7 linked regions of the Oryctolagus cuniculus genome follow. The protein of the gene in region 1 purifies or fractionates together with the protein of each later gene. This does not show direct contact. Links are inferred from orthologs where the notes say so. Each region holds a gene or a part of one and is shown on either strand. Other genes may lie near its edges.

What was found.
Region 2: the proteins of AMBRA1 (region 1) and STUB1 purify together in Homo sapiens (affinity purification with mass spectrometry, with the first as the bait; 3 studies listed by BioGRID). This does not show direct contact. The link is inferred for Oryctolagus cuniculus from reciprocal best matches to the Homo sapiens genes AMBRA1 and STUB1.
Region 3: the proteins of AMBRA1 (region 1) and DCAF7 purify together in Homo sapiens (affinity purification with mass spectrometry; 3 studies listed by BioGRID and IntAct, with this or other methods). This does not show direct contact. The link is inferred for Oryctolagus cuniculus from reciprocal best matches to the Homo sapiens genes AMBRA1 and DCAF7.
Region 4: the proteins of AMBRA1 (region 1) and HSPD1 purify together in Homo sapiens (affinity purification with mass spectrometry, with the first as the bait; 3 studies listed by BioGRID). This does not show direct contact. The link is inferred for Oryctolagus cuniculus from reciprocal best matches to the Homo sapiens genes AMBRA1 and HSPD1.
Region 5: the proteins of AMBRA1 (region 1) and BAG5 purify together in Homo sapiens (affinity purification with mass spectrometry, with the first as the bait; 3 studies listed by BioGRID). This does not show direct contact. The link is inferred for Oryctolagus cuniculus from reciprocal best matches to the Homo sapiens genes AMBRA1 and BAG5.
Region 6: the proteins of AMBRA1 (region 1) and DNAJB1 purify together in Homo sapiens (affinity purification with mass spectrometry, with the first as the bait; 3 studies listed by BioGRID). This does not show direct contact. The link is inferred for Oryctolagus cuniculus from reciprocal best matches to the Homo sapiens genes AMBRA1 and DNAJB1.
Region 7: the proteins of AMBRA1 (region 1) and CUL4A purify together in Homo sapiens (affinity purification with mass spectrometry; 11 studies listed by BioGRID and IntAct, with this or other methods). This does not show direct contact. The link is inferred for Oryctolagus cuniculus from reciprocal best matches to the Homo sapiens genes AMBRA1 and CUL4A.

The regions. Positions count from the first base shown.
Region 1 is NC_091432.1:19,388,919-19,392,418, forward strand, and holds part of AMBRA1 (activating molecule in BECN1-regulated autophagy protein 1), read left to right. Parts: coding exon 1-595; intron 596-3,500. UniProt on the Homo sapiens protein: Substrate-recognition component of a DCX (DDB1-CUL4-X-box) E3 ubiquitin-protein ligase complex involved in cell cycle control and autophagy.
Region 2 is NC_091450.1:34,026,459-34,030,012, forward strand, and holds STUB1 (E3 ubiquitin-protein ligase CHIP), read right to left. Parts: upstream 2,068-3,554; coding exon 1,912-2,067; intron 1,745-1,911; coding exon 1,546-1,744; intron 1,471-1,545; coding exon 1,305-1,470; exon of another isoform or gene 1,221-1,304; coding exon 1,133-1,220; exon of another isoform or gene 1,011-1,132; coding exon 768-1,010; exon of another isoform or gene 698-767; coding exon 572-697; 3' UTR 501-571; downstream 1-500. Other genes in the region: JMJD8 (jmjC domain-containing protein 8), read left to right, coding at 65-132, 206-340, 417-497; RHBDL1 (rhomboid-related protein 1), read right to left, coding at 2,407-3,061, 3,133-3,193, 3,263-3,363. UniProt on the Homo sapiens protein: E3 ubiquitin-protein ligase which targets misfolded chaperone substrates towards proteasomal degradation.
Region 3 is NC_091448.1:15,127,963-15,131,462, reverse strand, and holds part of DCAF7 (DDB1- and CUL4-associated factor 7), read left to right. Parts: intron 1-405; coding exon 406-615; intron 616-2,542; coding exon 2,543-2,660; intron 2,661-3,500. UniProt on the Homo sapiens protein: Involved in craniofacial development. Acts upstream of the EDN1 pathway and is required for formation of the upper jaw equivalent, the palatoquadrate. The activity required for EDN1 pathway function differs between the first and second arches.
Region 4 is NC_091434.1:42,771,222-42,774,721, forward strand, and holds part of HSPD1 (60 kDa heat shock protein, mitochondrial), read left to right. Parts: coding exon 1-98; intron 99-1,517; coding exon 1,518-1,617; intron 1,618-2,548; coding exon 2,549-2,794; intron 2,795-3,499; coding exon 3,500-3,500. UniProt on the Homo sapiens protein: Chaperonin implicated in mitochondrial protein import and macromolecular assembly. Together with Hsp10, facilitates the correct folding of imported proteins.
Region 5 is NC_091451.1:46,388,092-46,392,172, reverse strand, and holds the start of BAG5 (BAG family molecular chaperone regulator 5), read left to right. Parts: upstream 1-1,281; 5' UTR 1,282-1,417; intron 1,418-1,482; coding exon of another isoform or gene 1,483-1,605; exon of another isoform or gene 1,606-1,674; intron 1,675-1,706; exon of another isoform or gene 1,707-1,983; intron 1,984-2,276; exon of another isoform or gene 2,277-2,418; intron 2,419-2,698; 5' UTR 2,699-2,723; coding exon 2,724-4,067; 3' UTR 4,068-4,081. UniProt on the Homo sapiens protein: Co-chaperone for HSP/HSP70 proteins. It functions as a nucleotide-exchange factor promoting the release of ADP from HSP70, thereby activating HSP70-mediated protein refolding.
Region 6 is NC_091447.1:63,137,027-63,141,243, reverse strand, and holds DNAJB1 (dnaJ homolog subfamily B member 1), read left to right. Parts: upstream 1-1,417; 5' UTR 1,418-1,525; coding exon 1,526-1,736; intron 1,737-2,368; coding exon 2,369-2,949; intron 2,950-3,054; coding exon 3,055-3,285; 3' UTR 3,286-4,198; downstream 4,199-4,217. UniProt on the Homo sapiens protein: Interacts with HSP70 and can stimulate its ATPase activity. Stimulates the association between HSC70 and HIP. Negatively regulates heat shock-induced HSF1 transcriptional activity during the attenuation and recovery phase period of the heat shock response.
Region 7 is NC_091440.1:735,103-739,274, reverse strand, and holds the start of CUL4A (cullin-4A), read left to right. Parts: upstream 1-1,372; 5' UTR 1,373-1,492; coding exon 1,493-1,640; intron 1,641-1,726; coding exon 1,727-1,842; intron 1,843-4,172. Other genes in the region: PCID2 (PCI domain-containing protein 2), read right to left, coding at 695-730. UniProt on the Homo sapiens protein: Core component of multiple cullin-RING-based E3 ubiquitin-protein ligase complexes which mediate the ubiquitination of target proteins. As a scaffold protein may contribute to catalysis through positioning of the substrate and the ubiquitin-conjugating enzyme.

The sequences.
Region 1 (3,500 bases):
GCAGCATTCGCCATGAGCTCCAGTGTGACCTGAGACGCTTCTTTCTGGAATACGATCGGCTTCAGGAGCTGGATCAGAGCCTCAGTGGGGAAGCCCCCCAGACCCAGCAGGCCCAGGAAATGCTCAACAATAACATTGAATCTGAAAGGCCAGGCCCTTCCCACCAGCCCACCCCACACAGCAGTGAGAACAACTCCAGCCTGTCTCGTGGCCACCTGAACCGCTGCCGTGCTTGCCACAATCTCCTGACCTTCAACAACGATACCCTGCGCTGGGAAAGAACCACACCCAGCTACTCCTCGGGTGAGGCTGCGTCCTCTTGGCAGGTCCCCAGTACCTTTGAGGGCATGCCGTCGAGTGGCAGCCAGTTGCCACCTCTCGAGCGGACTGAGGGTCAAACACCCAGCTCCAGCAGGCTGGAGCTGAGCAGCTCTGCTAGTCCGCAGGAGGAGAGGACTGTGGGGGTGGCCTTTAACCAGGAGACAGGCCACTGGGAAAGAATTTACACCCAGTCCAGCAGACCTGGAACTGTGTCACAGGAGGCCTTACATCAGGACTTGCCTGAGGAAAGCTCTGAGGAAGATTCCCTCAGGAGGTAAGCGGTGGCTTCCTGTCGGCTCCTGCATCCTTTCCTTGCCTCCCTGCACCTCTGCCTGCAGTCCTGTAGATGCTGTGGCTGTCTCTGGATGACTGGGACCCATGCATCTGGTTTGGATGTCTCCATTGCATCATTTCGGAAAATTTTATTCTGGTGGCAGAGATAGGAAAGGGCCTAGCTATATGAGTCAGTTGGCTGTGCTATATCTATTTCTGGCTAAGCCTAAGGCTCTGGGTTTAGCCTTGAAAGGAGGGTGTTGATTAGGTTAGAAGGCATGAGGAGATGGAACCATTGACTTCCTCTGCCGGGTTTTTATTTTATTTTATTTTTATTTTTATTTTTATTTTTATTTTTTGGGCATTCTTGAAAGATTTTATTTGCAGGACTAGTTATTTTGGGACAAGAAAATGTCTGAGTATCTAGGAATAAGTACTAAAAGAATCCTGCTTGATATAGATTACTATATTGTTCCAGCTCTTTGTGTTGCTTTGGATAGCTGTTCACCTCTTAATCCTTAGCTTTTGGAACACTGCAGCTTGACAAAGAGAAAAAAAAGACAACATGCATTTATGTCAAGAAAAGGTGAATTTTAAAAATTTATTTATTTGAGAGACAGAGGGCTTCTATCTGCTGGTTTATTCCCCAGATGCCCACAGTGGCTAGCAATAGGGCTGGCCCAACCGGGAGCTAGGAACGCAATCCCAGTTTCCCATGTGCCAGGAACACAGTCACTTGACCCATCACTGCTACCTCCCAGGGCCTGCATTAACAGAAAGCTGAAATCAGGAGCGAAGCTGTGTAATGATCCCAGGAACTCTGGTATGGGATGTGGACATTTTAGACTCTACGTTAAATGCCTGCCCCAAAAAGATATATATATATATACACACACACACGCACACACACACACACAAATACACACACACATATATGTAAATTGTTATGATTCTTAGAATGAACCTTCCAGCTGAACATTCACCTTGGGATGAGGAAGAAGAATCTTTCATGGAAGAAAGAGAGTGGGTGTAGTTGATCGCCCACTCCATGTTCCATGTATGGCTCTGCACACATCTATCTTGATTTATTAGGGCCCTGTTTGTGTAATTTTGTAAAGGTCAAATCTAGCGTAATCACCAACTCCCAGAATATGCCTGTTGGATCCAAACAGCTTCTCTCTCTGTATTATATCCTCCATTTGAAGCAACTGAAATTTCTTTGACGTAAGCTTATAGCAAGGGTGAAAATATGGACTGTGCACATAATGTTCTTGTTATTTTGGGAAGATGCTTTAGACAGTTACCCAATTAGTATTAATTACAATGGCTATGGTTGAATGGTTACAACTTTTTCAGTACTGGGCGAGGCATTGTGGGGCATGCAAAAGAAGGATGATATAGCAACTTTGCCCACTGTAGTATAGAATGTTAACGTGGAGTCAAGACTTATTGACATAAAGTTTATCTAAAGCATAGTTGACCATATGCTTCACTCAGTGGTACTGAGATTAAATGTAGTATAACTTCAAGAAAAAGGAAGTGTCATCAAGGAACACCTTTTTAAAAGAGGATTTATTTATTTATTCGAAAGTTAGAGTTACACAGAGAGAGAAGGAGAGGCAGAGAAAGAGAGAGAGAGAGAGAGGTCTTCCAAATTGGCCACATTGGCCAGAGCTGCGCCGATCTGAAACCAGGAGCCAGGAGCTTCTTTCGGGTCTCCCACATGCATACAGGGGCCCAAAGAACATGGACCATCTTCTGCTTTCCCAGGGCATAACAGAGAGCTGGATCAGAAGAGGACTAGCCTGGACTCGAACCAGTGCCCATATGGGATGCCTGCACTTCAGGCCAGGATTTTAACCCACTGAGCCACAGCGCTGGCCTCAGGAACACTTTTTTTTTTTTTTTTTTAAGATTTTATTTCTTTTATTTGAGAGGCAAAGTTACAAACAGTGAGAGGGAAAGACAGAGAGAAAGGTCTTCCTTCTGTTGGTTCACTCGCCAAATCCGCAGTAGCTGGAGCCGCACCGAAGCCAGGAGCCAGGCACTTCTGAGTCTCCCACATGGGCAGGGGCCCAAGGACTTGGGCCATCTAGTACTGCTTTCCCAGGCAATAGCAGAGAGCTGGATTGGAAGTGGAACAACTGGGACTAGTACTGGCACCCATATGGGATACCAGCATTGCAGGTGGAGGATTAACTTGCTGCACCAGGGTGCCGGCACCCACTTTCTAAAGTCCAGTCTTGAATGACAAGTAAGATTTGGAGAAAGGAAAGACTTTTTTTTTTTTTTTTTAATATATTTATTTATTTGAAAGAGTTACACAGAGAGAGAACATGAGCTCAATCCATCTTCTATCCACTGGTTCACTACTCAAATGGCCATAACAGTTGGGGCTTGGCCAGCTCAAAGCCAGGAGTCAGGAGTTTCATTTGTGGGTGGCAGGATCCTAAGCACTTGAGCCATCTTTCGCTGCTTTTCTCAGGCCGTTAGCAGGGAGCTAGATTGAAGGTGGAGCAGGCCAGCGCCGTGGCTCAATAGGCTAATCCTCCACCTAGCGGCGCCCGCACACCGGGTTCTAGTCCCGGTCGGGGCACCGGATTCTGTCCCGGTTGCCCCTCTTCTAGGCCAGCTCTCTGCTGTGGCCAGGGAGTGCAGTGGAGGATGGCCCAAGTGGTTGGGCCCTGCACCCCATGGGAGACCAGGAGAAGCACCTGGCTCCTGCCTTTGGATCAGCGCGGTGCGCCAGCCGTGGCGGCCATTGGAGGGTGAACTAACGGCAAAAGGAAGACCTTTCTCTCTGTCTCTCTCTCTCACTGTCCACTCTGCCTGTCCAAAAAAAAAAAAAAAAAAAAAAAGTGGAGCAGCTTGGATACAAATTGATACCCATGTGGGAAACCGGCATT
Region 2 (3,554 bases), on another chromosome or scaffold:
CGGGAGCCGGGGACGGGGGCAGGGCAGGGGGGTGTGGTTTTTTGCTCACCCGCCAAACCCACAGGCGCGGGCACCGGGGTGCCCTTCCACTGGCACGGGCCCGGGTATTCGGAGGTCATCTACGGCCGCAAGGTCAGTGCCGTGGGCAGGGGCTGGGCGCGCGGACCCGCGGACCCGGGGTGAGCGTGCGCTTCCCCTCCCCCAGCGCTGGTTCCTGTACCCGCCCGAGAAGACGCCGCAGTTCCACCCCAACGAGACCACGCTGGCCTGGCTCCGGGACACGTACCCAGGCCTGGCCCCGGCCGCGCGGCCGCTCGAGTGCACCATCTCCGCGGGCGAGGTCCGGGCCGGGGCCGGGGCCGGGGCCGGGGCGGGGGAGGCGAGGCCCCCCGCTGACGCCCGCGCCCCTCCCGCAGGTGCTGTACTTCCCGGCCCGCTGGTGGCACGCCACGCTCAACCTGGACACGTGCGTGTTCATCTCCACCTTCCTGGGCTAGCGCTCGTGCTCACGGACTTTATTGCAGGACAGGGGCGGCGCCGGGGCGGGGGCGGGGGCGGGCCTTGCAGGGGCTCAGTAGTCCTCCACCCAGCCGTTCTCCGAGATGAACGCGTCGATGACCTCCTTCATGGCCAGGTTGGGGATGAGCTGCTCCTGGGTCAGGGGGCTCCGGGTCACGGGGTCAAAGTGGCCCACGCGCTGCGGGGACAGCGGGGTCAGCGGCGCGGCGGGGCGGGGCGCCCGGCCGGGCCGCCGCGGCCGCACCCACCTGCAGGTGCTCCTCGATGTCCTTGCGGTCGTAGGTGATGCCGCTGGGGGTGATGCAGGGCTCCCGCATCAGCTCGAAGCTGATCTTGCCGCACAGATAGTCGGGGACGTCGCGCCTCTGCACACAGGGCGCGCTCAGTGGGCGGGCGGCCGGCACCTGCCCACGGGCCCCGCCGACAAGGCTCACCTTTCTCTTCTCGTCCACTTGCGAGAAGAGCTCGTCCATGTCCGCCAAGTACTTGTCCTGGAAGAAGCGAGGGGGCGCTGCCCCGGGGCCGCACACGGCCCTCCCCCGGCCCAGCGCCGCCTGCCCCCGCCGCCCCCGCCGCCCCCGGGGCCCGCGCCCGCCGGCCGGGCCGCCCTCACGTGCTTGGCCTCAATGCAGGCCTGCTGGGCGCGGACGTGGCCGTCGTCCTCGTCCCCCTCGTGGCTCCGCTGGCACTCCTCCAGCTCCCTGCGGGCGAGCGGCCGCGCGTCAGGACCCGCCCCGCCCCGCCCCGCCCCGCCCCGCTGTCAATAAACGCGCGGAGGGGCCCACCTCTCGCGCTCGGCCGCGATGAGCCTGGCGAGGTAGGCGTGCAGCTCGCTCTCCTGGTGGATGCGCCGCTCCTCCAGGCTGTTCCAGCGCTTCTTCTTGGCGATGCGCAGCGCGCTGGGGATGTCGTCGCCGAAGTTGAGCCGCTGCTCCTTGGCCAGGCTGTAGGCTGCGGGCGCGGGGCGCGCGGTCAGCCCGGCCGGCCGCCCGCAGCCGCGCCGCGCGCCCCGCGCCGCGCGCCCACCTCGCTGCAGGTTGGCGATGGCCTCGTCGTAGCTCTCCAGCTCCAGCTGGCACTGGCCCAGGAAGAAGTGCGCCTTCACCGACTGGCCGTCCAGCTCCAGCGCGCGCCGGCAGTCGGCCAGCGCCTGCTCGTGCTGCTGCATCTTCAGGTAGCACAGGGCGCGGTTGGTGTAGTACACCGCCACCAGCGGGTTGCGCGTCTGGGGAGAGCGGGCGGCCGCGCTGTGGGCGTGCGCGCGGGCCGCACCCGCACCGCACCCGCACCCGGGCGGCCGCCGCCGCCGGGGCCGAGTCAAACGCCCCAAGCCGGGGGGCCCCGAAGGGCCGCGCCCCGGCGCCAGGCCCGCCCCCGGCGCGGCGCACTCACGATGGCGCGGCCGTAGCAGGCCGCCGCCTCCGGGTACTTGCGGCCCACGAAGAGCCGGTTGCCCTGCTCCTTGAGCTCCTGCGCGCTCGGGCTCTTCTCGGGGCTGCCGCCGCCGCCCAGCCGCGCGCCGCCCTCCTTCTCCTCCTTGCCCTTCATGGCGCCGCGCGGCACGGCCTGGGCTCCGCTCGCGGGCTCCGCGCCCGGCCGCCCGCAGCCCGCGCCCCGCTCGGCCCGGCCCGGATCGCCGCCACCGGAACTTCCGGCCGCGGGGGGCGGGGTCGCGCGTGCGCGCTGCGGCGGGGTGGGGGCGGGGCCCGCCGCGCGGAGCCTCCGAAGGACCGCCTCCCTGCGGCCGGGCTCCGCCCCTCCGCGCACGCCCCGCCCCCGGCATGGGGGCAGCGGGAGGCCGAGGCGTGCAGCGCGTGCGGGCCCCCGGGGGCGGGCCCCGCCGGCGGAGACGACCCAGGACGCCCTGACCCGCAGCTGAGTACGGCCTCAGCTGCCGCAGCCGCCCGGGCACCCTGTGCGGCCCGTGAGGCAGCGTCCGCACAGGTGGGAGCGACCCCGCCGGCGCCGCCCCCTCGGCATGGGCGGTGGGACACCGTGCCTGACCGGCCCCAGCCTGGCCCCCTCCCCCACGGCGTGCAGGCCGAACTCGTGGGCCAGGACACCCACCGCCTGTCCCCTGGGGCCGCAGCCCAGTCCCTTCGTAGATGGGAGGGCCCCGCACGGTCCGCGGGAAGCGGGGGGCAGAGACGCCTCCAGACCCCGGACAGCCACCTGGTGCCGTGTAAAATATTTATTCACTCTGCAAAAGGCGCGGACCGCGGACCCGGGGGCGGGGCGGGGGCAGGGCCTCCCCTGTGCCCAGGAGGCGGTCAGGGCGGCGGGGGGACGTGGGCGCCCAGCAGGTCGTAGGCAAAGACGTTCCAGAAGACGGCGAAGAGCAGGAAGGTGCCGTAGGCCAGCAGGACCACCCACCAGCCGCACTGGTCCCGCAGGCGCTCCTCGTAGCTGCGTAGGATGGTGAGGCCCATGCTCACGCCCACCACGGCGCCCGCCAGGTGCGCCATGAAGCTGGGCTGCGGGCCCGAGGCGGGCAGCGGCGGCGAGAAGCGCAGCCACACGGCGCGGCCCACCTCCGAGCTCACTGCGGAGGGAGGCGGCAGGTGGGCGGCGCCCCGCCCGCGGGCCCGCCCCGCCCGCCCCGCCCCTACTCACTGCACACCAGGGCCAGCACCATCCGCAGCAGCTTGTAGGGACACCGCATCCCAGCCCAGTTCTGAGGGGCGCGGAGAGGCCGTGAGACAGGCCCGCGGCGCCCGCCCCGCCCCCCGCGGGCGCCCATTACCATGACGACGTTGGCCAGGTGCGCCGAGCACAGGGCGTAGACCCCGCCGGAGCCCCCCACCACGGGGGCCCGCATGTCGGTGATGGACACGGTCAGGGAGCCTGCGGGCCAGGAGGGCAGGGGTGAGGCCCGGCGGGCGGCGCGGGGCGGGCCGGGGCGCGGCGCCTCACCTGCCAGCACGCCCGCCAGGTACAGGAGGCTGATGCGCAGCGCGCCGTGCACCATCTCCAGGGGCACCCCGATCATCAGCTGCAGCAGGGCGTTGAACCCCAGCTGCTCCAGCCTGGCACAC
Region 3 (3,500 bases), on another chromosome or scaffold:
GACATTTGTGATTTTCTTTCTGTCTGTTTTCACATGTGTGCCTCTGGCCTCTCTGTCTCAGTCCCTCTGTTTCTCTGAAGCTCTCCATTCTCTCTGCCTCTGTTTCTTCAGAGACATGTGTGATAAGCAGTGTTTGTAGCAAATGATAAATGCGGAACACAATGATTCAAACCTGAATAGATTCACATACAAGAATAAATCGTCCTAGGGAAGAAGCAGAATGTATGGAAGGACGACAGTGATCCTACGCCCATTTGTGAATGTAGGGGTTCCTGAACCTCCCCATAACTCAAAGTTGTTTCACCTCTTGGTCTCCGGACCAGGTTTAGATGAATTAGATTTCCCTGCTATAGGAAAAGGAGGTAACAGTTCTGCATCTGACTGAAGCTTCCTTTTCCACAATAGGTCTATGACATCGCGTTTAGCCGGGCTGGGGGTGGCAGAGACATGTTTGCGTCTGTGGGTGCTGATGGCTCCGTGCGAATGTTTGACCTCCGTCATCTGGAACACAGCACCATCATTTATGAAGACCCACAGCATCACCCATTGCTGCGCCTCTGCTGGAACAAGCAGGACCCTAACTACCTGGCCACCATGGCCATGGATGGAATGGAGGTGAGCACCCGCCCAGTCTAACACAGGCCCTGCCACTGAACTCCAGCGCTGACGAGTGCTTAGATTGGTTCTCTACTGGTGGCAGCCTTGCCCCCAGGGGATCTTTGGAAATGTCCAGGGTCAGATGGATCTGGGAGGCTGCTACGCTTTCTACAGTGCACAGGACAGCTTCCTGGCAAAGTATTATCCCCCTGAAATGTCCATAATGCCAAGGCTGAGAAAGCCTGATCTAGGACAAGGACTGTGGCTAAGAATTTTTTCTTTTTTTTTTTTTTTTTAAGATTTATTTATTTATTTGAAAGTTAGAGTTGCAGAGTGGGGAAGAGGAGGGAGAGACAGCGAGAGAGATCTTCCATCCACCAGTTCACTCCCCAGTGGCCATAATGGGCGGGGCTGGAACAGTCCAAAGCCTGGAGCCGAGAGCTTCATCTAGATCTCCCACATGGGTACATGGGCCCAAAACTCAGGCCATCCTCTGCTGCTTTCCCAGGACATCATCAGGGAGCTGGTACTGTGGTGCAATAGGCTAAGCCTCTGCCTGCTGCACCAGCATCCCATGTGGGTGCCAGTTTGTGTCCCAGCTGTTCTTCTGATCGGCTCTCTTGCTATGGCCTGGGAAAGCAGTAGAAGTTGGCCCAAGTCCATGGGCACCTGCACCCACATGGGAGACCAGGAAGAAGCTCCTGGCTCCTGGCTTCAGATTGCCCCAGTTCTGGCCACTGCAGCCATTTGGGGAATGAACCAACAGATGGAGGACCTGTCTGTCTTTCCCTGTCTCTGACTGTAACTCTGTCTTTCATATAAATACACAAAATCTTAAAAAAAAAAAAAAAAAGAAAAGAAAAGAAAAGAAAAGAAAAGAAAAGAAAAGAAAAGAAAAGAAAGAAAGAAAGAAAGGAAGGAAAGAAGAAAAAAAAAAGGAGTGGAGCAGCCGGGACTTGAACCTGCACCCGTATGGAATGCCGGTGCTGCAGGTGGTGGCTTTTCCCACTATGCCACAACGCTGGCCCCAACAACTTTTCATACTTGGAGAGTTGGTGCCAAGAAAAATAGTACTTAAGAGTAAACTAAATGGGCCAGCGCCACGGCTCAGTAGGCTAATCCTCCGCCTTGCGGCGCCGGCACACTGGGTTCTAGTCCCGCTCGGGGCACCGGATTCTGTCCTGGTTGTCCCTCTTCCAGGCCAGCTCTGCTGTGGCCAGGGAGTGCAGTGGAGGACGGCCCAAGTGCTTGGGCCCTGCACCCCATGGGAGACCAGGAGAAGCACCTGGCTCCTGCCTTTGGATAGGCGCGGTGCGCCGGCCATTGGAGGGTGAACCAACGGCAAAGGAAGACCTTTCTCTCTGTCTCTCTCTCTCACTGTCCACTCTGCCTGTCAAAAAAAAAAAAAAAAAAAAAAAAGTAAACTAAATCATTTGTGCTTTTGGTGCTGAGGGGAAAAAAAAAATCCCCTTGGGTGGTCTGGGCAGAGTCGTCCAGCTTTAGCAAACACATCTAGGAATCTAGGAATGGCAGCTCTCTCTGTAGCCTGTTACTCAATAAAGGTGGGTGGCAGGCACGTGGTTAGCGTTGGTTTGATGAAGCCAGTTCCTTAGACTTCTTCATTGGTTCCAGATTCTGCCTTGCCAGGGCTCTCATTCTGTCCAGCTGAGATGTACAGAATTCTTCTCTCAGGCACCTGCCAGGAATTGGTGGATCGTCTAAATATGTGTTACCTTTTCCATCCCCCTTTCCTATCCCTCACTACCTGTGTTCTGTGTTTTCTTTTTTCCTCAATCCTTAGGAAAACCTGCATCTCTAATATTCTTTAAGTCCACAAATGAAAAAGTGACACTTAAACAAGATTTTCCCTGGTGTAGTGTCTTTGGTTCTCGTGTTTCTTCTGTTACACCCCAAGTTCCTGGGCCTTATACTTGTGTTTCTGCAGGTGGTGATTCTGGACGTCCGAGTTCCCTGCACACCTGTTGCCAGGTTAAACAACCACCGAGCCTGTGTCAATGGCATTGCCTGGGCCCCGCATTCTTCCTGCCACATCTGTACTGCAGGTAACCATGGTGGGGGGACGGGTAATAAGGAAATCTGCCACTCTTGGCTCCTTACAGTTAACAGACCTTGCTGTTTTCCAAGGACAGTTGGAGACTTCCACATGACATAGTTCAATTCAGAGCCTCCCCACACTTGTGAAAATAAAATAGTTCACATTCGCAGGTGATCCCATACCCTCAGTGCTGTCAGAGCATCTTTTTTTGTTTTGTTTTGTTTTATGATTTTATTTATTTACTTGTGAGGTAGAGTTACAGGCAGAGAGGGGAAGTCAGAGAAAAAGTCTTCTATCTGCTGGTTCACTCCCCAAAAGGTCTCAATGGCCAGAGTTGAGCTAATCCAAAGCCAAGAGCCAGGAGCTTCTTCCAGGTCTTCCTCGTGGGTGCAGGGACCCAAGCACTTGGGCCATCTTCTACTGCTTTTCCAGGCCATTAGCAGGGAGCTGGATTGGAAGAGGAGCAGCTGGAACTAGAACCGGCACCCATATGGGATGCCAGCGCCACAGGCGAAGGCTTAGCCCGGTGTGCCACAATGCCAGTCCCTGTTGGAGCATCTTGTACATACAACTTATATCACGTGTCGGGGATTGGCCTGTGTGTTATATGCACCCACACACACACCAGAGTTCTAGGTTGGTGCAAGGGACTCAGATCCAAGAATGTGAGACAGAGAAGGCGTCCCTCTTGGATGCCACAGGATCTTTGGGACAGCCAACCTGGGCGTCTCCCTGGGACCTCTGAGGCCACACTATAAAGAGCTCACTGTGAACTCTGCAGGCACTAAAGGGCCCCACATGACCTTGGCTATTGAGAGGTGTGGAGGGGCCAACGCTGTGGCATAGC
Region 4 (3,500 bases), on another chromosome or scaffold:
GTACCTGCTCTTGAAATTGCCAATGCTCACCGTAAGCCCCTGGTCATAATTGCTGAAGATGTTGATGGAGAAGCTCTGAGTACACTTGTTTTGAATAGGTAATAAGCAGTGTATTTGATACTTCACATTTCCTGATGAAGAACTTGTATTGATGTTTGAAATCTCCATTATGTTCCTCCATATTCTATCAACCTGTGTTTGTATCTAGATTTGTAGTGTATATGAAAGTTCTTTACAAAATTTGTGTAAAAAGCCTCTTATGGAAAAAACTGCATGGTTTTAAATTGTTTCTTTGGACCAAACTATCTTTAGTTCTATTTTTTATCAGCTTTTTGGAGTACAGGTGTGCTGCTTGCATCTTCATGTTTCAGAAGACTTTAAGAATTATTTTTATTTATTTGAAAGACAACATCAGGGAGAGATGTCCATCACTGGTTCACTCCCTAAATGACTGCAACAGCCAGGGCTGGTCTAGGCTGAAGCCAGGAGCCTGAAACTCCATCTGGGTCTCCTATGTGGGTCACAGGGGCCCAAATACTTGGGCCATCTTCCACTGCTTTCCTGGATACATTAGCAGGGAGCTAAATTGGAAGCAAAGCAGTTGCTACTCAAACGGTGTTCTAATGTGGGATGCAGGTGTCACAGGCAGCAGTTTAACCTACTGTGCCACAAGCGAGCCCCGAGGAACACAAGGTAATTTTGCATGGAACAAGGAAGGAAGGAAATAATTGCCATTATAAAAACCTCATCCCTTAGTGTATTTAGTGATAAGTATTTCATATTCTCAAGTGAGAGAAATTAACACTCAACCTAAAATAAGATGAAGTCTATTCAACAAGTTTATAGTTTAATATTGGTTTTAACCTTGAAATAAGTAATGGTCATATTCTAAACAGTGCAAAGTTTTTGTTGAGCTGTTTACCGGTAGCTCTAAAGTCTTTGCCCAGTTTTCATAGCATATCATCATAGCTTATCCTAGTTTTTTATTTGTCTCAGTAAAATAGAGCGACACTGTCTTAAAGTTTTGTTCACAATCTGCTCTCTAATGGACATTTCTTTGATTATGATATTTCAAGTATTCATTTACCTGATAAAATTTCAGGTGAGTTTAACACTACAGTTTTGTATAACATTTATAAAAGAGCTAAATTTGGGACATTCTTTGTTCAAACTTAACTTTAACAATAACCCATAGAAGTCTTCATTAGATTACTCATTTACTTTTAATATTTTATAATTATTGTTTTCCATCACTCATAAAATAGTTGCTAATATGTCCTTAATTGTAATGTGATTTTTGCTTCTGGGTTCAGCGGTTCAACTGGAATGTGAGGCCAGCAGTTTATTAAGAAGGTAATCAGCTACAAAGAAGTATAGATGAGTAGAATATAGCTCTGTCTCCTACTTTTCCTCTTTTAATATGAACAGTTCTGGTAGTACCAGGACTTGAGAGGAACTAAACTAGATAGTAGGTATTTTTATTCAATTTAAGTCTCACCGTCTTCTGTCCTTAACAGGCTAAAAGTTGGTCTTCAGGTTGTAGCAGTCAAAGCTCCAGGTTTTGGTGACAATAGAAAGAACCAGCTTAAAGATATGGCTATTGCTACTGGTGGTGCAGTAAGTAAACTTAAGTTTTATATTTGTTTACTGAATGTTATTTATATTTCCAGGTCTAAAATTTAGAGAGAATTTAATTTTTCACAATTAGTTACTGTTTATTTTTAATTTTTAAAATTTATTTTTAAAAGACTTATTTATTTATTTGAAAGGCAGAGTTATAAGGAAAGGGGGGAGAGAGAGAGATCTTCCATCCATTGGTTCACTCTTCAAATGACCACAGTGGCCAGCGCTGGGCTATCTTCTGCTGCTTTTATCTCTGATTTGCCATGTTTTTGGCTTACTAAGAATGAGCTTTTTTACTAAATCTGCTTTCAGTTTTGAAAGTCAATAATGTGATAAAAAATAATCCATTGTGGGATTAAAGAATTTCAGCCTGGCCGGCGCCACGGCTCAGTAGGCTAATCCTCCGCCTTGTGGCGCCAGCACACCGGGTTCTAGTCCCGGTCGGGGCACCCGATTCTGCCCCGGTTGCCCCTCTTCCAGGCCAGCTCTCTGCTGTGGCCAGGGAGTGCAGTGGAGGATGGCCCAAGTGCTTGGGCCCTGCACCCCATGGGAGACCAGGAGAAGTACCTGGCTCCTGCCATCGGATCAGCGCAGTGCACTGGCCGCGGCGGCCATTGGAGGGTGAACCAACGGCAAAGGGAAGACCTTTCTCTCTGTCTCTCTCTCACTGTCCACTCTGCCTGTCAAAAAAAAAAAAAAAAAAAGAATTTCAGCTTATGGTCGGTATAGTCTCCCTTCCTTCAATAAGTGTGGCATTGAGTATTTCTCAAATTAGAATAATAGTGACTGGTAGAGTTGTGAAAACTGAGATGTTGAAAATGCAATGAAAGACAATTTAAATCTTCTTATAGACTTATGTTGGTCTTGAAGTCTGTTCATTTCAAAGAAGTACAGTATGATAACTTACAACTTTAAAATGTTGTAGGTATTTGGAGAAGAGGGATTGACCCTAAATCTTGAAGATGTTCAACCTCATGACTTAGGAAAAGTTGGAGAAGTCATTGTGACCAAAGATGATGCTATGCTTTTGAAAGGAAAAGGTGACAAGGCTCAAATTGAAAAACGTATTCAAGAAATCATCGAGCAGTTAGACATCACGACTAGTGAATATGAAAAAGAAAAACTGAATGAACGTCTTGCAAAGCTTTCAGATGGAGTAGCTGTGCTAAAGGTGAGATTCACTGTTGTATTGATTTTTGCTTCTATAGTATTTCCCAGTAGTACTGTGGAACCTAAATATTTGAGGGAGTAATGTGCTCATGGCAATATTCATTATGTAAAATTGTTTACCGAAACATTGCTTTTGTAAACTAGTTTTATGGGGGGAAATTGCTGTGGGAAAGATGCTCATGAGAAAGTCATTCTGGAATCTGTCTTTTGTGGGTTGTTGCAGTTCCTTTTAACAAGTAGGCAACATTTTTCCCCCCTTAAAATTGCATTTTAAGTAAACTGGATAGTTGTGTTTTTTTGTTTTTTTTTTAAGATTTATTTATTTATTTGAAAGTCAGAGTTACACAGAGAGAGGAGAGGCAGAGAAAGAGATCTTCTGTCCGATGGTTCATTCCCCAGATGGCCGAAATGGCTGGAGCTGTGCTGATCCAGAGCCAGGAGCTTCTTCCAGGTCTCCCACGTGGGTGCAGGGGCCCAAGGACTAGGGCCTTCTTGCACTGCTTTCCCAGGCCACAGCAGAGAGCTGGATCAGAAGTGGAGCAGCAGGGACTAGAACCAGCGCCCATATGGGATGCTGACACCTCAGGCCAGGGCTTTAACCCACTGCACTGCAGCGCTGGCTCCTGGATGATCTCTAAATGACCTTTTAGGTAGTCCACATCTTGAATGGGAGGAGCCATACTAACTGAAACTTCTGGAACTTCAGG
Region 5 (4,081 bases), on another chromosome or scaffold:
CGCCCGCAGCAGGCCCAGCACACACGACTGCCCTGGGCAACAGCGGCTCCCCAGCTCCCTCCAACACCCGGCAGCACGGACACTCGGACCCCGAGCACACGGCGGGGGTCACAATGCTGGACGCGGCCAAGCGGCTCCGGCTCTGCCCTGCCTCTTCCGGAGAGCACCGGACCACACGGCCCCAGACGGCCCTGGACCACACGGCCCTGCACGCCACTGGACCACGCGGGCCCTGCACGCCACTGGACCACGCGGGCCCGCACAGGACACGACCACACGACCCGCACAGGACCAGACCACACAGCCCCAGACGGCCCCGGACCACACAGCCCCAGACGGCCCTGGACCACACGGCCCTGCACAGCACCGGACCACACGGCCCTGCACGCCACTGGATCACACGGGCCCGCACAGCCCCTGACCACACGGCCCGCACAGCCCCTGACCACACGGGCCCGCACAGCCCCTGACCACACGGCCCGCACAGACCGGACCACACAGCCCCGCACAGCCCCTGACCACACGGCCCGCACAGACCGGACCACACAGCCCCGCACAGCCCCTGACCACACGGCCCGCACAGACCGGACCACACAGCCCCACACAGCCCCTGACCACACGGCCCGCACAGACCGGACCACACGGCCCGCACAGCCCCTGACCACACGGCCCTGCACGCCACTGGACCACACAGTCCCAGACGGCCCCGGACCACACGGCCCTGCACAGCCCCTGACCACACGGCCCGCACAGGACCTGACCACACAGCCCGCACAGCCCCTGACCACACGGCCCGCACAGGACCTGACCACACGGCCCGCACAGCCCCTGCGCGGGTCCGGTTCTCCAGCAAGCAGCCTGCGGGACCTGTTGCGGCGCTGGCACCGGCGCCCAAACCGGCCGCGGAAACGCCGCACCCCGCGCAACCCTCTCGTTGCTACACGGCTGCCCCCGCCAGCGCCTTTCAGAGGCTGAATCCTCCCCAGACACCCGCGAGCCTGGTGGGTGTGCGCGCGTGGGAGCGGAAGTCGGGGCGGCGGCCGCACGAAAACCCGCAGGCCCAAAGTGTCGCAACGGCCAGCGGGCTCCCTCTCGTCGCTCCGTAACCACTGCCGGGCCCGGCTCCGCGCCGGCCTCACCGCCCCTCTCGTCGCTCCGTAACCACTGCCGGGCCCGGCTCCGCGCCGGCCTCACCGCCCCTCTCGTCGCTCCGTAACCACTGCCCGGCCCGGCTCCGCGCCGGCCTCACCGCCCCTCTCCTCGCTCCGTAACCACTGCCCGGCCCGGCTCCGCGCCGGCCTCACCGCCCCGGCCCGCCAGCGCCTGAGGACAAGCACGGCCGGCCGCACGCCGCGGCCGCAGCCACTCGCCGAGCCCCTCCGGGCGCTTCTGGAACTCGCCCTCGGGCAAACACCAGGTCCGTGCACCGCGGCGGTGGGCGCCAGACCGGGGGCGGCCCGGCAGCCCCGGCAGCGCGCTTACCCCGCTCGGCGCTGCTTCCCTGCGCTCCGCACCGCGCTCCGGGGCCCGCCGCCCGCCGCCGCCCGCGAAGGCCCGGCAGAGGGGCGGGACGAGGGTCCGCGGCGCCCGCCGCACCGCCGCCATGGGGCCGCGCCCACCTTGCTCCCGCGGCACCCGGCGGCGTTCGCGACGGCGAGCGGGGCTGCCTTACGGCAGGGTCGCAAAGCCGGCGGGCGCGCCGCGGAGGGGCCGACCGCGCGCTTTTCCCGCGGTGACACGGCTCGCGGAGGGGGTCTGTGGGGACGGGGCGGCGCGGAGGAGGCCTGCCGGGACCGGGCAGCGCGGGCGAACGCCGGCGACAGTTCCCCGATCCCTGTCGTCCCAGAGGCCCGGGGCGCGGCTCGAGGTGAGGCGCGGGCGCGGAGCCGTCTTTTCCCAGGGCTTGGGGGTGGTCGGCCCCGGACGGGGGCGCCGCGGGCTCTGCGGAAGTCGTGGGCGGCAGCGGAGCGCGTGATGGCGCGGGTGAGTGGTGCGGGGGCGCCGGCGATCGCGTCTGCTCTCTCCGCGCGCGCGCCGGCGCGGGGCTCCGCCGGGCCACCCTGCTCCCCCCCACGGGCTCCCACGCGGCCGCGCCTGGCCGGGTTCCCCGCCGGGCTGGGCCCCGCTCCGCGCCCCTCCCGCCCGTCCTCGCGGGGCGCCCGGGCCTCGGCCTCCCCCGCGCGCCCATTGTGAGGTCAGGGCCGGCGGCGAGCCGGGGGCCCGGGGCCGAGACGCCCGGAGCGGCCGCTGCGGCCAGTAGCTGCCGCCGCCGCCGGCCCCTTCACCGGCCGCCCCGTCCAGACCGAGCCGGGGGGCTGAAGGGGATGCCGTTAGGGGCCCGGCCCCGCCGCCGCACCCGGTGAAGGGCTGATCTTCCACCTCGCCGCCGCGCCTCCGGGGAGCCGGGACCTCCGCCGGGTAAAGTGCGAGAGGGAGGGAGGCCCGGGCCCGCGGCGGCGCCCGCGGGCCCTCGTGGGAGGCAGTGCAGGCAGAGTGGGCGCTGTCCCGGGCGGGGAGCCCCGGCGGAGCTTGGGGCCCCGTCGCGGGGCCTGTCCCGCATTCTGCTGGCCCGGGCGTGCCCTGCGGGCTGTTCTGTGCCGCGGGCCGGGCGGCCCCTCGGGCTGGCCCTGGGCCTGCCGGCCGGGGTCCGCGGACCTGCCGGCGGCCGCTCTGAATGAGCTCTCTTGTCGCCCCGCAGCGCTCGTGAGCCCAGGCAGCGGAGCATGGACATGGGAAACCAGCACCCGGCCATCAGCAGGCTGCAGGAGATCCAGCGGGAGGTGAAGGCCGTGGAGCCGCAGGTGCTGGGCTTCAGCGGGCTGGCGGACGACAAGGCCTACCGGAGGCTGGAGCGCATGCTCACGCGGCAGCTGTTCGAGATCGACTCCGTGGACACCGAGGGCAGGGGGGACGTCCAGCAGGCGCGGAAGCGGGCGGCGCAGGAGACGGAGCGGCTGCTCAAGGAGCTGGAGCAGAACGCCAGCCACCCGCGCCGCCTGGAGATCCGGAACCTGTTCCGCGAGGCGCAGGCGCTGGCGCAGGACGAGATCGCGCCCTTGCACAGCGGGGGAGGCTGCGCCGCGGACGAGGTGGAGGAGCGCCTGCAGGACATCGTGCTGCGGCTGACGCACGTCAAGACCGGCGGCAAGGTCTCGCTGCGCAAAGCCCGCTACCGCGCGCTGAGCAGGGTGTGCGCCGTGCAGGAGATCCTGGAGGACTGCCTGCGGAAGCAGCCGTCGCTGCCGCTGTCCGAGGACGCGCACCCGTGCGTCGCCAGGATCAACGCCGTGATGTGCACGGTGAGCAAGGCCCGCGGCACGGTGGTCGCGCTGCTGATGGGCGTGTGCGCCGACGAGACCTGCCGGCACCTGTCCTGCGTGCTCTCGGGGCTGCTGGCCGACCTGGACGCGCTGGACGTGGCCGGGCACCCGGACATCAGGAACTACCGGAGGGAGGTGGTGGAGGACATCCACAAGCTGCTCAAGTACCTGGAGCTGGAGGAGGAGGCGGACACGACCCGCGCCTTCGACCTGGGCCAGAACCAGTCCATCCTCGAGATAGAGAAGGTGCGCGCCAGGACGCGGGAGGTCAGGGCCGAGCTTCTGCGCGCGCAGAGCCCGGCCGAGCTGTACCTGAGCTCCAAGACGGAGCTGCAGGGCCTCATCGGGCAGCTGGACGAGGTGAGCCTGGAGAAGAACCCCTGCATCCGGGAGGCGCGCAGACGGGCGGTGATCGAGGTGCAGACGCTGGTCACCTACGTGGACCTGAAGGAGGCGCTGGAGAAGAGGAAGCAGAGCGTGGGCGCCGAGCACCCGTCCCACCAGGCCGTCTGGAGCGTCCTGGGGAACCTGTCGGAGATCCAGGGGGAGGTCCTGTCCTTCGACGGCAATCGCAGCGACAAGAACTACATCCGGCTGGAGGAGCTGCTCACCAAGCAGCTGCTGGCCCTGGACGCGGTCGACCCGCAGGGCGAGGAGAAGTGCAAGGCCGCGCGCAAGCAGGCCGTGAAGCTGGCGCAAAACATCCTCAGCTACCTGGACCTCAAGTCGGACGAGTGGGAGTACTGACCGCGAGTGGGCAC
Region 6 (4,217 bases), on another chromosome or scaffold:
CTCTCAGACTCTCCCCCTCTCTCTATGATTCGTGACTTTGAAATAGATAGGTGAATCTTTTTTAAAAATTTATTTATTTATTTGAAAGACAGTTACAGAGAGGTAGAAATGGAGAGATATTCCATCTGCTGATTCACTCCCCAAATGGCTGCAATGGCCAGAGCTGCACTGATCCAAAGCCAGGAGCCAAGAGCTTCTTCCAGGTCTCCCACATGAGTGCAGGAGCCCAAGGACTTGGGCCATCTTCCACTGCTTTCCCAGGCCATAGCAGAGAGAGGGATCAGAAGAGGAGCATTCAGGACTAGAACCGGTGCCCATATGGGGTGCTGGTGCCACAGGCCAGGGCTTCAACCCGCTGCACCACAACGCTGGCCCCCAGATACATAAATCTTAAAAAAAAAAAAAAAAAAAAAGATGCCAACCAGAGCTCCTGCATCCCACATGGGAGCGTCTGGGCTCACTCGTGGTTCCTCTGCTGCCCTTCCAGTTCCGTGCTAATGAGCATCCTGGGACACAACAGGTGATGCTTGGGTCCCTGCCAACCACGTGGGAGACCTGGATGGAGTCCCTGGCTCCAGGCTTTGGCTTGGCCCAACCTTGGCTATCGCAGGCATTTAAGGAGTGAACCATTGAATGAAAGTTCTCTCTCTCTCTCTCTCTCTCTCTCTCTCTCTGTGCTTTTCAAATAAAATGAAATCAATAAAAAAAAATTTTTAAAGCCAGAAACCAGGTCTGTTGAGGAGCCAAATACCGGGACTGTTTAGGAACAGGCAGAACCCGGTTCTGGTCCTGGTCGCCAGCCCAGGCTGGGAGGGAGGGAAGCCAAGGAAAAGGGAATTTCAAGTTTATCGGCAAGTTCAGCGGCAAGGGTGACACCAGGGGCAGGAAGGGCAGGACCCTCTCCAGGGGAGTGGACGTGGCTCGCACTGTCCCCTCCCCGCTGGCTGAGGAGGGCGTGCCACTCTTGCACTTGTGCTAAACAGCACCAAGCCTGCCGAACTTTGCACGACCCAGCCTGCGAGACGGGAGGCCAGGTTTATATCTGCTGGGAACAGGGGCGGGGCCACCTCGAGGGGCGGGGCTTTGTCTCGCCCCGCCCCTTCCCGGAGCTCCGCGTTCCGCTGCGGTAACCTGTGGACCCGGCAACGGACAGGGCTCGCAGCCTGCCAGATCCTAGAAGACAGTGAGCGGGAAGTCGTGATTGGTTCTCCCCGAGGGGGTGGGCGGGCCCTCCGCCTGCCCAGTGCCCTCGCCGCGGGGAGGCGTTGCCGGGAGAGGCGGGGGGGGGGGGTCTGAGAGGGAAGGGGCGTGGCCGCACGCGGGCGGCCGTTGGCAGCCCGGCCCCGCCCCGGATGGGGGCGTCACGGGGCCGAGGCCGCGGCGATTGGCCGGCGCGGCGCGGGGGGCGGGGCGGAAGGTTCTGGAGGGGGCTGGCGGGCTCTGGAAGCTTCCGCCGGACGGGTATATAGAGTCGGGCCGGGCGGCGGCGGCGGAGCCGGGTACGGCGGGGCCGCGGGCGGGCGCCATGGGCAAGGATTACTACCAGACGCTGGGCCTGGCCCGCGGCGCGTCGGACGAGGAGGTGAAGCGGGCCTACCGCCGCCAGGCGCTGCGGTACCACCCGGACAAGAACAAGGAGCCCGGCGCCGAGGAGCGGTTCAAGGAGATCGCCGAGGCCTACGACGTGCTGAGCGACCCGCGCAAGCGCGAGATCTTCGACCGCTACGGGGAGGAGGGTGCGTGCGCGCGGCCGCGGCGCGCGGGGAAACCGAGGCACGCGCGCCGCCGGCCGGGGGTGGGGGGCTGCTGAGAGGGCCCCCGGCGGGCGGAGGAGGAGCCCCGGCTCGCCGCTCGCGCAGAAGCTTCCAGCACGTCCGGGCGGCCCCTCCCTGGGTCTGCACCCGGTGCGGGCCGGGGCGGGGGGCGCGGCGGGGGGCGGCCGGGTCTCGGCCTGCCCAGCTGCCCGTCGGTGACTCACCGGCTTCCGGGCTCGGTCCTGAGCCAGTAGAGTGTGTTTTTTTTTTTTCCGATCATCAGGGCAGCGGCGATTGGTGCTGGGACGGGAGAGCTTCAGAAAGCTTCCGGGGTGTCTTTGGTTGGCCTGCATTTGCCCACGTTCTCTCTGGGCTCAGGGGACGTGGCCGCCGCTCTTCCCCCCTCTCCCCCACCCCGGGTCATGTCTGGGTCTCTTGGTGGATTCTTGGGAGGATCAGCCGGGAGCAGGCAGGGGCCGGGCCTTGGTGGCTGTCACCTGCGGGCCGAGGCCCCCAGTGTCTGCAGCGGCAGGTGCAAGCTTGGGGTCCGGCCCTCGGCGGGCTGAGAGCAATCCCGCCCCGCCCCCTCACGTCCCTGCGTTTTTGCTTCGCAGGCCTGAAGGGCGGCGGCCCCTGCGGGGGCAGCGGCGGCGGGGCCAACGGGACGTCCTTCAGCTACACGTTCCATGGCGACCCGCACGCCATGTTTGCCGAGTTCTTCGGAGGCCGGAACCCCTTTGACACGTTCTTTGGGCAGCGGAACGGGGAAGAGGGCATGGACATCGACGACCCGTTCGCCGGCTTCCCCATGGGCGTGGGCGGCTTCACCAACATGAACTTCGGCCGCTCGCGCCCGGCCCAGGAGCCCACCCGCAAGAAGCAAGACCCGCCCGTCACGCACGACCTCAGGGTCTCCCTGGAAGAGATCTACAGCGGCTGCACCAAGAAGATGAAGATCTCCCACAAGCGGCTGAACCCCGACGGCAAGAGCATCCGGAACGAAGACAAGATCCTGACGATCGAGGTGAAGCGGGGCTGGAAAGAGGGCACCAAGATCACCTTCCCCAAGGAGGGGGACCAGACCTCCAGCAACATCCCCGCCGACATCGTGTTCGTGCTCAAGGACAAGCCACACAACATCTTCAAGAGAGACGGCTCGGACGTCATCTACCCGGCCCGCGTCAGCCTGCGGGAGGTGAGGCCGCGGGGGTGGGGAGCCGTGGGGGTGCGCTGGGGGCGGGCGGGGCTCCCCAGGCTCTCGCGGCTGACCGCTGTCCTACCCCCCCCCACCCCCGCCCAGGCCCTGTGCGGCTGCACGGTGAACGTGCCGACTCTGGACGGCCGCAGCATCCCCGTTGTCTTCAAAGACGTCATCAGGCCCGGCATGCGGCGGAAGGTGCCGGGCGAAGGCCTGCCCCTCCCCAAGACGCCGGAGAAGCGCGGGGACCTCATCATCGAATTTGAGGTGGTCTTCCCCGAAAGGATCCCCCAGACGTCGAGAACCGTCCTGGAGCAGGTTCTGCCCATCTAGCGCCCCCACACACCCACCCACCCACCGCCCCCGCATCATCCGGGCGCCGCCGGCCCCAGGGACCTCGCCAGAGCTCAGCGTCTCCGGCTACCCCGGCACTCGTGGACCGTGAGAGGGCGGGAGGGCCCGGGAGCCTGATCCTGCTCTATGTTTTCCAGAGAATATATTACAATCTTTGAAAGTCGTGCACTCGACTGTGCTGGTTTTTCGGGCGGCGGAGCGGCAGGTGGTGGGCAGAGCAGGACGAGGCCCGCCCCGCCCCACGCTCCTCCAGACACCTCCCCCCCCCCGCACCTGCAGCTGGGTCCTGTGCTTTGTCTCCCCTGCTCCATGCCTCCCCCCACCCCCACCCCCCGGCTCATCCTGGCCATCTCAGGTGGAGAAAGCTAGACTCTGCAGAACTGCCCGGCCGGCGCCCACAAGCAATACCTTCCTCTTTCCAGCGGGACCACGGGAGCCCGGGAGCTCACGGAGACGGGGCCCAGCCGTGCTTTGCCGAGAGCGAGCTCTGGGCAGCTCCGGGTGCCCTTTCTGTTCCATGGACTCTGGACTTTGTTTTGTTTCGTTTCGTTTTGTTTCTCTCTCAAAGGGATCTGATCCTTCGGAATTTTGCACAACCCTGGAGAGATGTATAGAGACATAGCTATAATCCCTTTTGATAAAAGGGTCTTTGCTCCCGATTGCAGGAGCCTGTAAATGTTTTTATAACTCCCCGTCAGGCCGGGGTGCCCCCAGACGGGCCCTGCCCTGCCCCCATGGCCCCGGGCGGAGGCGGGGTCTATTCCCGGGACACCCGTCTGGTGCTCAGCCCCTTGAGACTCATTGTACGTTGCCACTGCCGACATGAGACCAAAGTGTGTGTGACTTGTCGCTGTGCAGGGTGATGGCATTAAAGACTGTATGAGAAACCTCCCGGGAGCGGCCCTCGGCTC
Region 7 (4,172 bases), on another chromosome or scaffold:
ACACAGCAGTAGGCAATCTCTCCCGCCCTAGGGAAAGTCAGACCCACTTCCTCCCCAGAGCTACTAGGAACCCATCACAGGGTGCTGAAATCAGGAATGGAGGCGGGTGCAGGTGGACAAGGTCCCTACGCTCGCAGTCCGACGCGCCAAGAAACATCATCCTTTGGAAAACTCAATGCTGAAAACACGGCCTTGCGACCAGAGCCCGGGCCCGCGCGTCCCGGCGGCGCCGTCTGAGCCCAGAGCCTCGGTGTGGCCGCTTCTGTGCCCTGCAGCTGCAGCGTCAGACACGCAAGGCGGGGCGAGGTTCACCAGGGGCAGATGCCGTGGGGCTCTAACTCCCCCAGCTCCCACGGGTCCCGTTCCCAGGAGATCGCGGCCGCGGGGTCGCGCGCCCTGGCCGCAGAGCCAGCGCGCAGGCCGCGGTAGGAGCCCAAGTCCCGCCGACCCGCGTTCTCCCCCGCATGTTACATCCGGCCGCCATCCCGCGTCGACAACCCGCCACTTCTAAAGCGTTCCAGAACCCCGGACACCCGCGGCTGAGCGACCGTACCGGCGCCGCCCCCTGGGAAAACCCGAGGGAAGTGGCCTCCGGCAGAGGCGGGCCGCCCGGGGCTCCCCGCACCCCGCACACGGACACGCTTCGGTGCGGCGGCCCTGCGCCAGCAGCCACGCAGCGCCCGCCAGCACCCACCTGCTGCAGGTACTGGTTGATGGTGATGTGCGCCATGGCGCGGCCGCCGCGCAGCCTGCGCCCGGTCCGCCCGCGTCAGGCCGCGCGTCACTTCCGGCCGGCGGTCCGTCCACCGCCAGGCGCCCCCCGACGCCAGCGTCGCTCGCACATTGGTTCCGGCCACAACGTGCGCCGCAAGCGCCGCCCCGGCAGCTCGGCGCCGAGCCCGGTGGAGGGCGGCCGGGGTCTGGCGCCGCTCGCCTCGCGCGCTGGGGCCCGCGACCCCTCTCGTGAAAAGCACTCCCCGCAGCGACGTTCGGCTCGCGGCCGCAGCCGGCCCGGGCGCGCCCCCGAGTCCACACACAGGGTGCCGGCGCGCGCGCCCGCAGACTAAGATGGAGGGCGGCCTCGCGCCCCCTCCTCAGCCCGCCCTCGGTGGGGCGGCGGGGGTCCGGGCGCGCGCCGCCGCGCCGGCGGCCGCGGGGTGCGGCGGGCTCCGCGGCGCCGGCTTCCCGCGCAGCCCCGCGCCCCCGAGGGGAGGGGCGGCCCGGCGCGCGGCCCGGCGCGCGCGCCCCGGAGTCTGAGCGCGGCGTCCCGCGCCCGGCGGCGGGAGGGGCGGGCCGGGCCGACGGCGGCGGCGGCGGTTGGGCTCCGGGGCGCGGGCGGGGCGGGGCGGGGCGGCCTCGGCGCAGGCCCGGACGGAGGCTCGGGAGCCGGAGCCGGCGCCGGACGCGGGCGGACAGGGCCGGAGCCGGGCGCACGGGGCGCGGGGCGCGGGGCGGCGTGCCCGGGCGGGTCGGGCGGCGTCCGGCCGCGGCCATGGCGGACGAGGCCCCGCGCAAGGCCGGCGTCTCGGCCCTCGTGGGCCGCACCAACGGCCTCACCAAGCCCGCGGGCCTGGCCGGCGGCCCCAACAAGCCGGGCGGCGCGGGCGGCTCCAGGAAGCTGGTCATCAAGAATTTCCGAGGTGCGGCCTGGCGGGCGCGGGGCGCGGGGCGCGGGGCGGCGCGGACGCGGGGCGGCCGGCCGCGCCTGACCCTGCGCTCTCCACAGACAGGCCGCAGCTGCCCGACAACTACACGCAGGACACGTGGCGCCAGCTGCACGAGGCCGTGCGGGCCATCCAGGGCAGCACCTCCATCCGCTACAACCTGGAGGAGCTGTACCAGGTGAGCGGCCCGAGTGGCCCGGGGCCGCGGCGGGCGCGGGCGCGGGCGGCACGTGACCGCGCGGCCTTCGCGCGGGCCGCGCTTATGTAAAGTGCCCGCTGCGGGGACGGCCCGCGCGCGTCTGGATGCGGTTCGCCGTTGCGTGTCCGGGGTCGGGAGGAGCGGCCGGGGGCGCGCCGCGTGGGGAACTTGGAAGCCACTTGGCGGCCCCTCGGGAGCGCGCTTCCCCCCGATGTGCGGGGAGCTGTGCGAGTTTTCCCTGCAAAGCCTTGGGCTGTGGGTGTATTTGCGTGACGTTAGCGGCGCTGCGCAGTGCCACGGAGGGCCTGTAGGCCCCCTGCGTGTCCCGCCACCCACCCTGCCGGGGCCTCCCTTATCCAAACTCCCGGAATGCTCCAGAACCTGACACTGAGCACCGACGTGGTGACACAAGTGGAAAATTCCACACCTCGTCGCACGTAATGGATCCCAGCGCGAATACGGAGCACTGGGCGTGAGAGGGATACCTGTGCTTGGAGCTGGAGCCCCCCCCCCGCGCCTGTGTGCGTGTGTGCGTGACAGGGCGCGTGTGAACTGGCCGGCCTCTGCGTCTCTCTAAGCCGTTCTCTCATCGTTTACATAGGATGTGTAACTTGGGTCTTACTAAGTTGTTACGGATGTGGACGTGTCTCCCCTCCCAACCAGCTCCATCGTCTTTACTTACTTGTTTTCTGTCCCCATAGCTTGCTGTTTCTGGAATCTCATCCAAATAGAATCATGCGTTTTGCATGTCTGACTTTTTTTTTTTTTTTTTTTTGCTTAGGGTGGAACTTTTAAAAAAATTGTTTACTCTCATTGTATTTGAAAGGGAGAGGAGGGACGGAGGCAGAGTTCTTCCACGTGCTGGGTCATTCCCCCAGCTGTCCACAACAGCAGGGGCTGGGCCAGGCTGAAGCCAGGAAATCATCTGGGTCACCCACACAGGTAGCAGAGCCCAAGAACTCCAGCCATCATCTGCTGCCTCCCGGACTGCGCGTTAGCGGAAGCTAGAATTAATTGTAAGTGGAGTCACAACTCAGACCCAGCCATTCTGATGGGCGATTCAGGTGCCACAGGTGGCTTCTCGCCCACAGCACCACACACATACCCACGATACTTCTGAAATCCATGCACACTATGTGATAGTAATTAGCTTGTTTACTATTTATTTATTTGAAAGATAGAGCCAGAGAGAGAGGGAAAGAGACAAATACGGAGATCTTCTGTCTGCTGGTTCAGTCCCCAGATGGCTGGGCCAGACGAAAGCCAGGGCCCTAGAAATCCATCAGGGTCTCCCATGTGGGAGGCACAGGCCGAGGCTTTGGGCTATCTACTGTTTTCCAAGGAGCATTGGCAGGGAGCTGGTCAGGAGTGGAGCAGCTGGGACTCCAACTGGAGCTGGGTCCCCATAATTTGTTTCTTTGTATTCCTGTCCTGCTTGGGTGTACTGTGTTTGGCTTATTCTTCACCAGTTAATGGACACTTGGGTATCAAGTTTTGGGTTACAAATAACGTAACAAACATTCTCATTCCTCTGGAAGTAGATCCCCAGGGTCCCGTGGAAAAATACTTGTTCAACTGTATAAGAAATTTCCGGGGCCGGCACTGCGGCACTGTAGCGTAGCTGGTAAAGCCACAGCCTTCAGTGCTCACATTCTGGGAGTCCCAGCTGCTCCACTTCCGATCCGGCTCTCTGCTATGGCCTGGGAAAGCAGTAGAAGATGGCCCAAGTCCTTGGACTCCTGCACCCACGTGGGAGACCTGGAAGAAGCTCCTGGCTCCTGGCTCCTGGCTTTGGATTGGCCCAGCTCTGGCCGTTGTGGCATTTAGGGAGTGAACCAGCAGGTGGAAGACCGCTCTCTCTGCCTCTGCCTCTGCCAGTCTGTAACTCTTTCAAATAAATAAATAAATCTTAAAAAAAATAAAGAAATTGTGGCCGGCGCCGCAGCTCACTAGGCTAATCCTCCGCCTAGCGGCGCCGGCACACCAGGTTCTAGTCCCGGTCAGGGCGCCGGATTCTGTCCCGGTTGCCCCTCTTCCAGGCCAGCCCTCTGCTGTGGCCAGGGAGTGCAGTGGAGGATGGCCCAGGTGCTTGGGCCCTGCACCCCATGGGAGACCAGGAAAAGCACCTGGCTCCTGCCATCGGATCAGCGCGGTGCGGCGGCCATTGGAGGGTGAACCAACGGCAAAGGAAGACCTTTCTCTCTGTCTCTCTCTCTCACTGTCCACTCTGCCTGTCAAAAATAAATAAATAAATAAATAAATAAATAAATTTCTTGCTTTTCAAAGCGGTGGCACCATTTACTAAGTCC